Cricetulus griseus: one gene and its partners. The protein of the gene in region 3 purifies or fractionates together with the protein of the main gene of each other region. This does not show direct contact. Links are inferred from orthologs where the notes say so. Each region holds a gene or a part of one and is shown on either strand. Other genes may lie near its edges. The genes, in order: Eif4a3, Pnn and Srrm2.

Evidence for each region.
Region 1: the proteins of Srrm2 (region 3) and Eif4a3 purify together in Homo sapiens (affinity purification with mass spectrometry; 3 studies listed by BioGRID and IntAct, with this or other methods). This does not show direct contact. The link is inferred for Cricetulus griseus from reciprocal best matches to the Homo sapiens genes SRRM2 and EIF4A3.
Region 2: the proteins of Srrm2 (region 3) and Pnn purify together in Homo sapiens (affinity purification with mass spectrometry; 3 studies listed by BioGRID and IntAct, with this or other methods). This does not show direct contact. The link is inferred for Cricetulus griseus from reciprocal best matches to the Homo sapiens genes SRRM2 and PNN.

Annotation. Positions count from the first base shown.
Region 1 is NC_048600.1:131,837,982-131,842,340, forward strand, and holds the start of Eif4a3 (eukaryotic initiation factor 4A-III), read right to left. Parts: upstream 2,933-4,359; 5' UTR 2,871-2,932; coding exon 2,702-2,870; intron 845-2,701; coding exon 772-844; intron 1-771. UniProt on the Homo sapiens protein: ATP-dependent RNA helicase. Involved in pre-mRNA splicing as component of the spliceosome. Core component of the splicing-dependent multiprotein exon junction complex (EJC) deposited at splice junctions on mRNAs.
Region 2 is NC_048598.1:143,470,552-143,473,922, reverse strand, and holds the end of Pnn (pinin), read left to right. Parts: intron 1-217; coding exon 218-1,605; 3' UTR 1,606-2,784; downstream 2,785-3,371. UniProt on the Homo sapiens protein: Transcriptional activator binding to the E-box 1 core sequence of the E-cadherin promoter gene; the core-binding sequence is 5'CAGGTG-3'. Capable of reversing CTBP1-mediated transcription repression.
Region 3 is NC_048600.1:43,323,047-43,326,693, reverse strand, and holds part of Srrm2 (serine/arginine repetitive matrix protein 2), read right to left. Parts: intron 2,715-3,647; 5' UTR 2,685-2,714; coding exon 2,443-2,684; intron 1,609-2,442; coding exon 1,501-1,608; intron 1,312-1,500; coding exon 1,147-1,311; intron 1-1,146. UniProt on the Homo sapiens protein: Required for pre-mRNA splicing as component of the spliceosome. As a component of the minor spliceosome, involved in the splicing of U12-type introns in pre-mRNAs.

The DNA of each region.
Region 1 (4,359 bases), about 89 Mb from region 3:
ACAAAAGAATTTCAGAAAGTGACGCAAAAGGTCTCCCTTCCTTTAATGCAACTGGCACCTAAGATTTTGGAGTATAACTTAAAAAAAAAAAAAAATGTCTTTTGAAAATTAAAGCAAGCCAGGCAGTGGTGGTGCACTTTAATCCCAGCACTTTGGAGTCAGAGGCAGGCGGATCTCTGAGTTCCAGGCCAGCCTGGTCTACAGAACAAGTTCCAGGACAGGCTTCAAAGCAATACAGAGAAACCCTGTCTCAAAAAACCAAAGGAGAAAAAAAAAGAAAATAAAATTAAGGCAAATAACAGTTTGGAGTATAGTTCAGTACCCAGCATATGGAGGGGGGAATAAAAAAAAAAAAAATAAAGCTACTAAAAGAGTATCTTGGGCTGGAGAGATTGCTCTTCCAGAGGACCCTGGTCCAATTCCCAGCACCCACATGGCAGGTCACACCTGACTGAAACTCCAGGTCCAGGGCTTCTGACACACTCACACAGACATATATGGAGGCAAAACACTAATGAACATTTAAAAAAAAAGTATCTTGCATAAATCTACACTGAGTAGGAGAGCAGTTGCTCAGTATGTGCAGTGACCTGGATATGACCCACAGCACCAAGCACCTTCCCAAAATATACATGGCTAAAAAAAAGGGGGGAGGGCTTTTCTAGATAGGGAAAAAAGTCAATGCTGAGCTGGGGGTGTAGAGAGGACAAGGCAGACTCATCTTCCCACAGCCTCACTGACCCAAGTTGGCTCTCAGCACCCACAACTTACTGTGCAATGACATCTCTCCCCTTAATTATCTGCTTGATAGCACGCTGCTGGATCGCTGAAGGTTTCTCAAAACCTGCAAATACAGAGAGGAAAAAGACTCAGCCCTCATACTGTGACAGCGTAGACACCACACAGCACAGGCTCCCTGGGGGCACACATACATACAGGCTTCTTACTGCCAGCCCAGGCCGCCAGGTGAACCACGCCTTACAGACTGGCCTGGAAGATGACCTGTGAGGACAGTGTCTACAGAGCAGCACTGAGAAGGTAGAGGCAGGAGCACCAGGAGTCCCAGGTCCGCCTAAGCCACATGAAACCCCCTCTGCGATAAAAGTCATAAATCCAGAAGCACAGAGGTTGCTCCCTTTCCTACTGGCGAGCACTCCAATCCACTTGCTGCCTGCCGTCCCCAGCATGACGTGGGCACCGCATGCTGCTCTCACCTGGCTGTAGCCCCATTATCTAGGCACCACCCCTAGACAGACGAGGCATGGTTGTGCACTCCCTAAATCCCAGCACTCAAGAGGCAGACAAAACTTACATTGAAAAGCTATAGTTCTTTTTTTTGTTTGTTTGTTTTTTGTTTTTCGGGACAGGGTTTCTCTGTGGCTTTGGAGGCTGTCCTGGGACTAGCTCTTGTAGACGAGGCTGGTCTCAAACTCACATAGATCTGCCTGCCTCTGCCTCCCGAGTGCTGGGATTAAAGGCGTGCGCCACCAACGCCCGGCCTTATAGTTCATTTTTATACTTTAAGCTAGCAGCTGGGCAGTGGTGGCTCACACCTTTAATCCCAGCACTTGGGAGGCTGGATCTCTGTGAGTTCGAGACCAGCCTGGTCTACAAGCCTGAGTTCCAGGGCAGCCTCCAAAGCCACAGAGAAACCCTGTCTCAAAACAACCGCCCTCCCCAAAAGGTTGTAGCTAGCACACCTTCCCAATTCAACACAATACCTATGATGGTTATCTTAGTGGTCAATTTGACTGCATCTGGAATTAACTAAAAACCATTTAAAGTGGGAAGACCCACCTTCCCCGTCTGCATAGTGAGTTCCAGTTCAGCTAGGGCTATGTAGAGACCCTGCTTCAAAAACAAAACAAGGGTGGGGGGGAGATATGGTGGTGCAGGCCTTTAATCCCACCACTCAGGAGGCCTGTGAATTCGAGGCCAGCTGGTCTACAAAGCTACAGAGAGAAAACCTGTCCCAAAAAGAAAAAAAAAAAAAAAAAAAAAGAACAAAAGCACCATCTGGGAGGCAGGGGCAGGTAGATCTCTGAGTCTGAGGCCAGCCTGGTCTGCAAAGAGTTCCAGGGCAGCCAGGGCTACCATGAAGACACCCCTTCCCCAGGTCTGGAAAGAACAAAACCTAACAAAACAGACAGAGCGCAGCCTCCCTCAAATGCTCCTAAGCACACAGCAGCCACATGACGCAGGGCTGCACTCTGCCTGCCACTGCCACCAGCAGACCCTTCAGCCCCAAAGCATCCCCAGCATCCCTTCTTCTGCGGCCCGGACATCGTCCCGCCTCCTCCTCCAACTCGCTTCCCTCCAAATCCGGACACCAAACTAAACGTTCAAACGGCAAACCCGACCCTACCGCCTTTCCGCATTCAACTGCAGAGGCTTCGGGGTGGTCTAGGAGCGAGTCTCACCACACCTCTCACAGCCTGGCCGCGGGCGTCCTCCGTGCGCCCCGGGGCTCGCTCTCCTCTAACTGTCCGCGGCCCTAACGGGGCTGAAACCCCGCAAGGCCCGACCCTGCGGGACCCACGGCCTCGGGGCCCGGGGCGGGCTCGCACTCGGCTGCCGCCACCCCAGCGACCGGGCGAGCCTGGCTGGGCGGCCCGCGGGAGAGCCGGGCCTGCGCTCCGAGCGGCTCGCACCTTCTCCGCCACCCCGCCCGGCCTCCCCGCGCCGCGAGGCCCGCGCCCACCGTAGGCGTAGATGCCGCGCAGCAGGTCCTCCCGCAGGCCCATGGTGTCGAACGTGGGGGTCACGTCCACCTCCTCGCTGGTCTCGAACTCCACCTTGGTCATGTCCTCCTCTTTGAGCAGCCGCTTCCGCGCGGAGCCCGACGTCGCCATCGTGGCCGCGGCCGCCATGATTCCGACTCCGCCGAGCGCCGAGCGCGAGCCGCGGCGGGAACCGGAAGCAGGGCTCCGACGCCGGCGCCGGCGCGGGAGGCAGGAAGTGACGCCACCACGGAGCGACACGGCCCTCCCAGAGGCGGGAGGCGCCTGGTGTGGCGGAAGCGGGAAGCGCGGCGCCGGGCGTGGGCGCCGCTCCCGTTCTCGCGAGATCCAGCGCAGCCGCGTGATGTGCCCCCGCGCCGTCGGTGCGCGCTGTGGGGTTTAGGAGGCTCCGGGCAGGGGCGCGGGGTCCCCGGGGACGCGGCGTGAGGGACGCCCTCGCTCAGCACCGCCCCCGCCCGCGTTGCCATGGCAACCCCGTCCCCCGCGCGTCTGCGCAGCCAGAGCCGTGTGTCTGGCTGTGCCCCACGTGAGTGTGTTCCTGGGAAACGCTCGCTTACACCTGGAGGACACTCAACTGCCAAGAGTGACTAACGAGACCCTCCTGTATGTGTGCACACTCACACACACGTGTACTCACACACTCACGTGTGCACACTCACACTCATGTGTACACACACATATATACACACATCACATGTGTACACGCTCATGTGTACACACTCACACATGTGTACACGCTCATGTGTACACACTCACACATGTGTACACACACACGTGTACACATTCACACATGTGTACACACACACGTGTACACATTCACACATGTGTACACACTCACGTGTACACATTCACGCACGTGTACTCACACTCATGTGTGCACACACATATATACACACATACACATGTGTACATACGCATGTGTACACTCACACACATGTGTACACACATGTGTACACACTCACACTCATGTGTACACTCTCACACACATGTACTCACACTCACGTGTACACACTCGCGTGTGCACACTCGTGTGCACACTCACACTCGTGTGTAAACAGACACGTGTGCACACTCACACATGTGTGCACACACACGTGTACTCACACACTCGTGTGTACACACACATATATACACACATACACGTGTACATACGCATGTGTACACTCACACACATGTGTACACACATGTGTACACGCTCATACACTCATGTGTACACCCTCACACACGTGTACTCACACTCACACTCACGTGTACACACTCTCACGTGTGCACACTCACTCGTGTGTAAACAGACACATGTGTGCACACTCATACACTCATGTGTACACCCTCACACACGTGTACTCACACACACTCACGTGTACACACTCTCACGTGTGCACACTCACACGTGTGCATACTCACACACGTGTACACACTCACACATGTGTACACACATATACACGTGTACACACTCACGTGTACTCACACATATATATACACACACAGTACACACTCACACACACACGAGTCTTTAAAAGCTCCCATAAAAATGGAAATCGTTTATGTCCAGTGGTTAGAAGCAAACTGTCCGTTTCTGGAGAAGTTGCGGGTTGCAAGATACCCGCGCTAAAACAAG
Region 2 (3,371 bases), on a different chromosome or scaffold from region 3:
GTCATCTTTTTTGGAAAACATTTAGGGACTGGTAGTTTAGTTCATCTGTAGAGTGCTTGTCTAGCTTGAATAAGACCCCTGAGTTAAGTTCCCAACACTGTCTAAAAAAAAACCCCCTAGGCATATGAAAAGATGATTAGATGGTGGTGACAGTTTGTGACCTGGTTTAAAATTGTTATTTTTAATTTTCTTAACTACTGTAATTTTTATTGTTTAGCTTTATTTGAAGGTAGACGCATCGAATTTGCAGAACAAATAAATAAAATGGAGGCTAGGCCTAGAAGACAATCAATGAAGGAAAAAGAGCATCAGGTGGTGCGTAATGAAGACCAGAAGGCGGAACAAGAAGAGGGTAAGGTGGCTCAGCGAGAGGAAGAGTTGGAGGAGACAGGTAATCAGCACAATGATGTAGAAATAGAGGAGGCAGGAGAGGAAGAGGAAAAGGAAGCAGGTGTAGTTCATAGCGATGCAGAGAAAGAGCAGGAGGAGGAGGAACACAAGCAGGAAATGGAGGCTAAGATGGAGGAGGAAACTGAGGTAAGAGAAGGTGAGAAGCAACAGGATAGTCAGCCAGAAGAAGTTATGGATGTGTTAGAGATGGTTGAGAGTGTCAAAAATGTAATTGCTGAGCAGGAAGTAATGGAGACTAATCAAGTTGAAAGTATAGAACCTTCAGAAAATGAAACTAGCAAAGAATTGGAGCCAGAGATGGAGTTTGATGTTGAGCCAGATAAAGAATGTAAATCTCTTTCTCCTGGAAAAGAGAATGTTAATTCTCTGCATGTGGAAAAGGAGTCTGAGGAAAAAGAGGAAAAAGAAGATAAAGAACCTGAGCCCCAACCTGAGCCTATGGCTCAGCTTCTGCCCCCACCTCAGCCCCTGCCCCAGAGCCAGCCCCACCCTCAGCTGCACTCTCAGCCCCAACCTGTGCTCCAGTCCCAGCCTCTCACTCAGCCTGAGACTTTGCCATTAGCAGTTTTGCAGCCTCCACCTCAGGTTATTCAGGAGCAAGGGAATCTACTGCCTGAGCGGAAGGATTTTCCTATAGAGTCTATAAAACTCCCTGAGATGCCTGTAGAGCCAGTCTTGACAGTACATTCAGAAAACAAAAATAAAAACAAAACTAGGAGCAGAAGCAGAGGTCGAGCAAGAAATAAGACAAGTAAGAGTAGAAGCCGCAGCAGTAGCAGCAGTAGTTCCAGTAGCAGTTCTACCAGTAGCAGCAGTGGGAGCAGTTCCAGCAGTGGCAGCAGCAGTAGTCGGAGCAGTTCGAGTAGCAGTTCCAGCACCAGTGGGAGCAGCAGCAGAGACAGCAGCAGCAGCACTAGCAGTAGCAGTGACAGTAGAAGTCGCAGTAGGGGCCGAGGACATAACCGAGATAGAAAGCACAGGAGGAGCATGGACCGGAAGCGAAGGGACACTTCAGGACTAGAAAGAAGTCACAAATCTTCCAAAGGTGGTAGTAGTAGAGATACAAAAGGATCAAAGGATAAGAATTCCCGATCTGACAGAAAAAGGTCTATATCAGAAAGTAGTCGATCAGGCAAAAGATCTTCAAGAAGTGAAAGAGACCGAAAATCAGACAGGAAAGACAAAAGGCGTTAATGGAAGAAGCCAGGCTTTCTTAGCCTATTTGCAGCAGAAGATTTGATGAGTAAAAGGATTACCTTGTAAGGAGGATGCTGCCTTAAGAATTGCATGTTGTAAAAATTCTTTTTGGAAAATACAGACTGTTTGTTTACCAGACATTCTTGTACTTTTTGCATAATTTTGTAAGAGTTATTTATCAAAATTATGTGAGGTTCCAAAATATGTAAAAATAATAATAATAAAAAAAGATTAACATCCCTTGTCATCTTTTTTAAATACCCTATTACTCTTCAGTCAGAATCTGTATATTTTAATAGGTAAATCTTTAAATTGTTCCTTTATGTTCTGTACCATACATTGCTTTTGTAGAAATAAATGTGCATCTTTCATTATTTTTGGGATGTCCTTGTTAACACTTGTATAATAAATATCTTTATATCATTTTCAGTTTGTCACAAGATACTGAACATAATTAGAATGTTTTTGAAAGTTTCATCACTTGGATTTGCCTGATAACAGTTATTTTGAGTTACCAGGTCTTTACAGCTTTGACGAGGAATAGTTCTTTTTAAGCATTTAATTATTTCCTATCTTACTATTTTAATCTAAGCATTTTCCTGTTTTCATTTAAACCATTCAGTTGGTAGATAATTTAAACAGTATAATTTGGTTGTCATTTCATGGTTATGGGAACATCATTCTCTGTCCTCACAGCTACTTGTGTGATAACAACATAGTGTATAAATCTGTCATAGTTATCACCTCCTGGGTGGTGGGGGGGAGCGGTAAAAGTATCTTCTGAACTTGGTTTTTGAATTTGTGGTCTTGTCTTTTCTGTTGACTATAACTGAAACATGCCAGTATATGTTTTCAAGAATTTTTGTTTAAGGAAGTATTGTATGGAAGTTTACACAATGAAGGAAGCTCATCTAGGCTTGACTATGTAAACTATTCAGAAGTGTACCAAGTGATCATTAACTTTGTTTATAAATTTGTATGGACTTGGAGTATCTGTTGCCCATTACTATATGTGTGCAAATAAATGTGGCTTAGACTTGTGACTGTTTAAGATTAGTACTTGTATTAACATTCCTATGCATATGAGAGCATTTAAATGGCAGTGGTTATTTTCGAGTTGATATTTCAAAATTGTAGCTTTAGCTATCTACAAGTAAACAGTGCATGAAAAATGAACAGAATCTTCATTTAGTTTTGTGTCTGTACAACCCATGTGTTAAAGCAAATGTGAAAAGAATTCTTTTTTAAAATCCTTTTCTTGTGTTAAATGAACAAAAATCAAACTATAGAACCACCTACTAGACTCGTGAACCTGTTTACACCAAGACCCGGCTTAACAATTTGTACTCTTAGCAAAACTTGATCTTGTGCTGTGCGGTGGAATAAGTTGGTAAAGGAATTGCTAAATTTAAAATGGCTGAGGAGAAAAAGAGCATACTGGGTGGGGAGAGCCTCCAAGGAAGGTATATTCAACATTTTTTACTTAAATGTGTTTTGTCTGTGTGTATGTACAGCTGCCAAGGAAGCCAGGGACATTGGATCCCTTGGAGAGTTAAAAGAGCTGCGCTGTGGATGCTGAGGCCCAAGCTTCAGTCCTCTGCTAGAGCAGTGTGAACTCATAACCATAGATGACATCAGTACAGTACGGGAATTTGGGGTATGATCCAGTGCTTAGAAAGTGCTAGGCCCTAGATGCAGCCCATTGTGTGATTCAAGGTTTGCTTGCTGCTTTTCATGATTGGCTTTCAGTCTATGCCCTTGTA
Region 3 (3,647 bases):
CTGGGGAGGCAGGCTCAAGCAGAACTCTTTGAGTTCAAGGCCAGCCTGGTCTACAGAGTGAGTTCCAGGACAGCCAGGGCTAGAAAAACCCTGTCTTGAAAAAAAAAAAAAAAATGTAAATTTAAAAGTGGTTGTGTATCTAGGTCCTAGTGTGTGTGTGTGTGTGTGTGTGTGTGTGTGTGTGTATGAGAGAGAGATGGGGGGGAGTGGAAGAGTGGGTGAGGGGAGGGAGGGATGGGGAGAGAGATTCTATTTTGAGGCAAATCTTACTATATAGCCCTCCCTGACTGTCTTGGAACTACCTATGTAGAGCAACTTAGCCTCAACTCCCAGAGATCCTCTTGCCTCTGCCTCCCAAGTGTTGAGATTAAATGTGTGTATCACATCTGATTTCATTAAATTGTTTTGAGACAGGGTCCTTAATATGTAGCTAACCCTGGCTGGCCTCAAAATCAGAGATGTGCCTGGAGTGGTGGGATAAAAGGTGTGTACCACCACACATATCTTAATTATTTAAAAAAACAAAAACAGGGGCTAGAAGCAGGAGGGTGGGGGGTGGCGCACGCCTTTAGTCCCAGCACTTTCGAGGCAGAGGCAGGTGGATCTCTGTGAGTTCAAGACCAGCCTGGTCTACAAACACTAGTTCCAGGACAGCCTCGAAAGCCAGAGAAACCCTGTGTCAAAGAAAAAAAAAAAAGGGGGGGGGGAGTGACTAGGTCAGCAGTTATAAACCCTGGCTGCTCTCCATTGGACCTTGGGTTCCTTTCTGAGCACCAAGGCAAACACTCAACCATCTGTAACTCTACCACCAGGGGATCTAATGCCTCTTCTGGCCTCCAGGGGCACCAGACACACGGCACAAAAACAAATACAAGCAAAACAACCATACACACAAAAATAAAAATTTGACCTAAAGACAACAAAATCTAAAAACTTTGGAAAGGAATAGTGGCACACTCCTTTAACCTCAGCATTGGAGAGGTAGAGGAAGGCAGCTAGCCTGATCTACAGAGTGAATTCCAGGACAGCCAGAGTCACATAGTGAAACCCTATCTCAGGCCAAAAAATAAAAAAAAAATAGTAGTAGTCTATTAGTAATAATACAATACTTTTAACAAGAAAGCAGATCCAGGCTTCTCTGAGTACCTGTATGGTTTGGGGGGCTCAGGAACTGCTTGTTTAGCTTCTCGAGCACGTCTCTGAGGATCAAAAGAACTGCCATCCACATAGGAATCACTGATGCCAAAGGCTGCACGGAGTCTCTCATTCTTCTTCTCATTCAGTTCTGCCAACTGATGGGTCTCAGTTACCCTGGAGGGGAAAAAAGGCCCAAATCTGAAGGAGACATACAGGGAACAAGTAAGAGCCCCAATTTAGAACTTAATTATAAAGATGAGTCAAACAGCTACGAAGGCAAAACCCAATCCCAGGTCCTTTTTAGAAAGGATAGCCATAGCTATAATATCATAGACTCCAAAGAACTAAGAGAAAAACACTTACATTGGCCTCTGCCCTGGGGTTTCTTCCTTACCCCCAGGGTTCACATCCTTCTCCAGCAACATGAGTCGAAAGGTCGCCACTTTCTCCTGAATCTGCTGTTCTTCGTACCTGAAGGATAAATCCCTTCATGGTTAGAGCTTGACAGGGGTTTTCCCAAGTCCCAATTTATAATTGCTTCCTTTTCCAACACGGTCCTTTTACCTTCTCCATTCACACAGTATTGTAACTCAAAATTTCCGTAAGTTTTCCTTATCTTTCCCCTTGACCCTTCCTTCCTTTTCTACACTATTCTCTCTAGAACAGTGGATTTTAAACATGCTACAATTCAGGGGCCAAGAGAGGACAGTTTGCTTGCTGGCATAGTTCCCAGTGCTCCTTTCCCAACTTCAACACAAATAGATCTTTTATTTCCTGGGACTTCAAAGAAAGCATAATATATAAAAGGATACCATTGCTCAAGTTTGAAAACCACTGCTCTAAACAGGTTTCTACCTGAATGTGCTCCTTTTCCAAATTTTCACTTCTCTGCCAAGCTCATGATATCCACTCTTTCAATTCCAATCTTCTGCCTTTGCCACCTTCCACAGCCGAAATCCCTTAAATCCACCTACCTTTCTCTTCCTTCCAATAACAACACCTATCAGGTTACCTAGCTCTTCTGCCTGATGCTACTTTCCTATACAGCACATTTTTGGCCCCCTTCCCCTTCATAAATTCAGCTAAATAATTCAGACCCCCTTAGCTATCACTGCTCCAAACAGTTTCCTTGACATCCCCACCATGCACTGACCCATGACTCTTGATTCTTCAAGCTCATTCTTTCTCCCTTACAACTCCTTTTTAGGACTCTGTCAACCTGCTCCAGTTTCTTTCCACACATCCCACCTAACACCCAACTAAGCACTCACTCAGTGCTTGGCTTCTCCCCACCCATTCCCTCACCCCTGCTCTTCCATCATCTCCTCCAGCTCGAGGCATCGCAGCTCCACGCGCCGCTTGCGCTCGTGGTCCAGGATGTCAGGATTAGGCCGCTTCACCAGGGCAGCCTCCAGGCGCCGCAGTTCCTCCTCTCCCTTGTAGTCAGGCCGCTCACCACGGCGGCCCCGCACCAGGGACAGGTTGCGCTGGACGTAGCCGTTGGTGCCGCTGCCCCGGGGCGTCGGCAGCCCGATCCCGTTGTACATGGCCCTGTGCCCAGGGGGGCACCACCGCTCCTGAGGGGGAGCGGGGAGACACCAGTCAGGCTCCTGACCCCAATCTAACTACTTACCACATCTCCCACATCCCTGGCTCTCTTAGCCTTTAGTTCAATACTTAATTAGTCTCACACTGAATCTCCATTAGCAAAATGATGTTTCCTCATTCCACTAGTCTGCAAACAAAACCCTCCCTTTATCCTCCCCACACTTCATCCTTTCCACTAAATCACCACCTACTTTTAAATCTTTTCTCACAATATACTTTCACCAAATTCTAAAGCCATTCTTTGTACTTTTATTTTCCTTTCTACACCCTAACCAATCAAGAATCCATGTTGTCTCAAATCTCTCCACACTAATCCTTTATTCTTCTCTGGCCACACAATACACACAAATGGTATCTTCATCAAGCACTCTGAATATAACTATTGGTAACCAAGTTCTCAAAATGGCACAACAAACACCATAGATCAATCAGAAGCACCTAAAGTCCATTTTCAAAGACTCCTCCCAAGAGAATAAGTATTTAGGCTACCTTAAACAAACAAGAAATGGATTAAACAGTCTTGGGTATCTAAATAGGTAAACTGACTAGTAACATAAACCAAATGTCCTATGCAGTCTCACACCCAAACTACTGGCAAGCAAGATCAGAAACAGAGGAAACGTGGATACATGAGCTTATACTTCATATGGGGAAGGTGAGCCATCTCCATTCTCTTTGATTCCAAATATTCAAAGCTCCTACCAACTACAGTGATTTTATTATTTTAGTTTTCTTCCCAGTAAGGTTTACCACATAGCTTGCAGCTCCTCCAAGTCTGGCTAGCTCTTGTTAAATATTGTCTGTTTTTTAACTTGATAGTCTAAATACATAAAACCATTTTTCTCTGTTCCAACTGTTTCCATACTTTCTTTACAAGTGTCTAGAAACCTTCAAACTTCGTA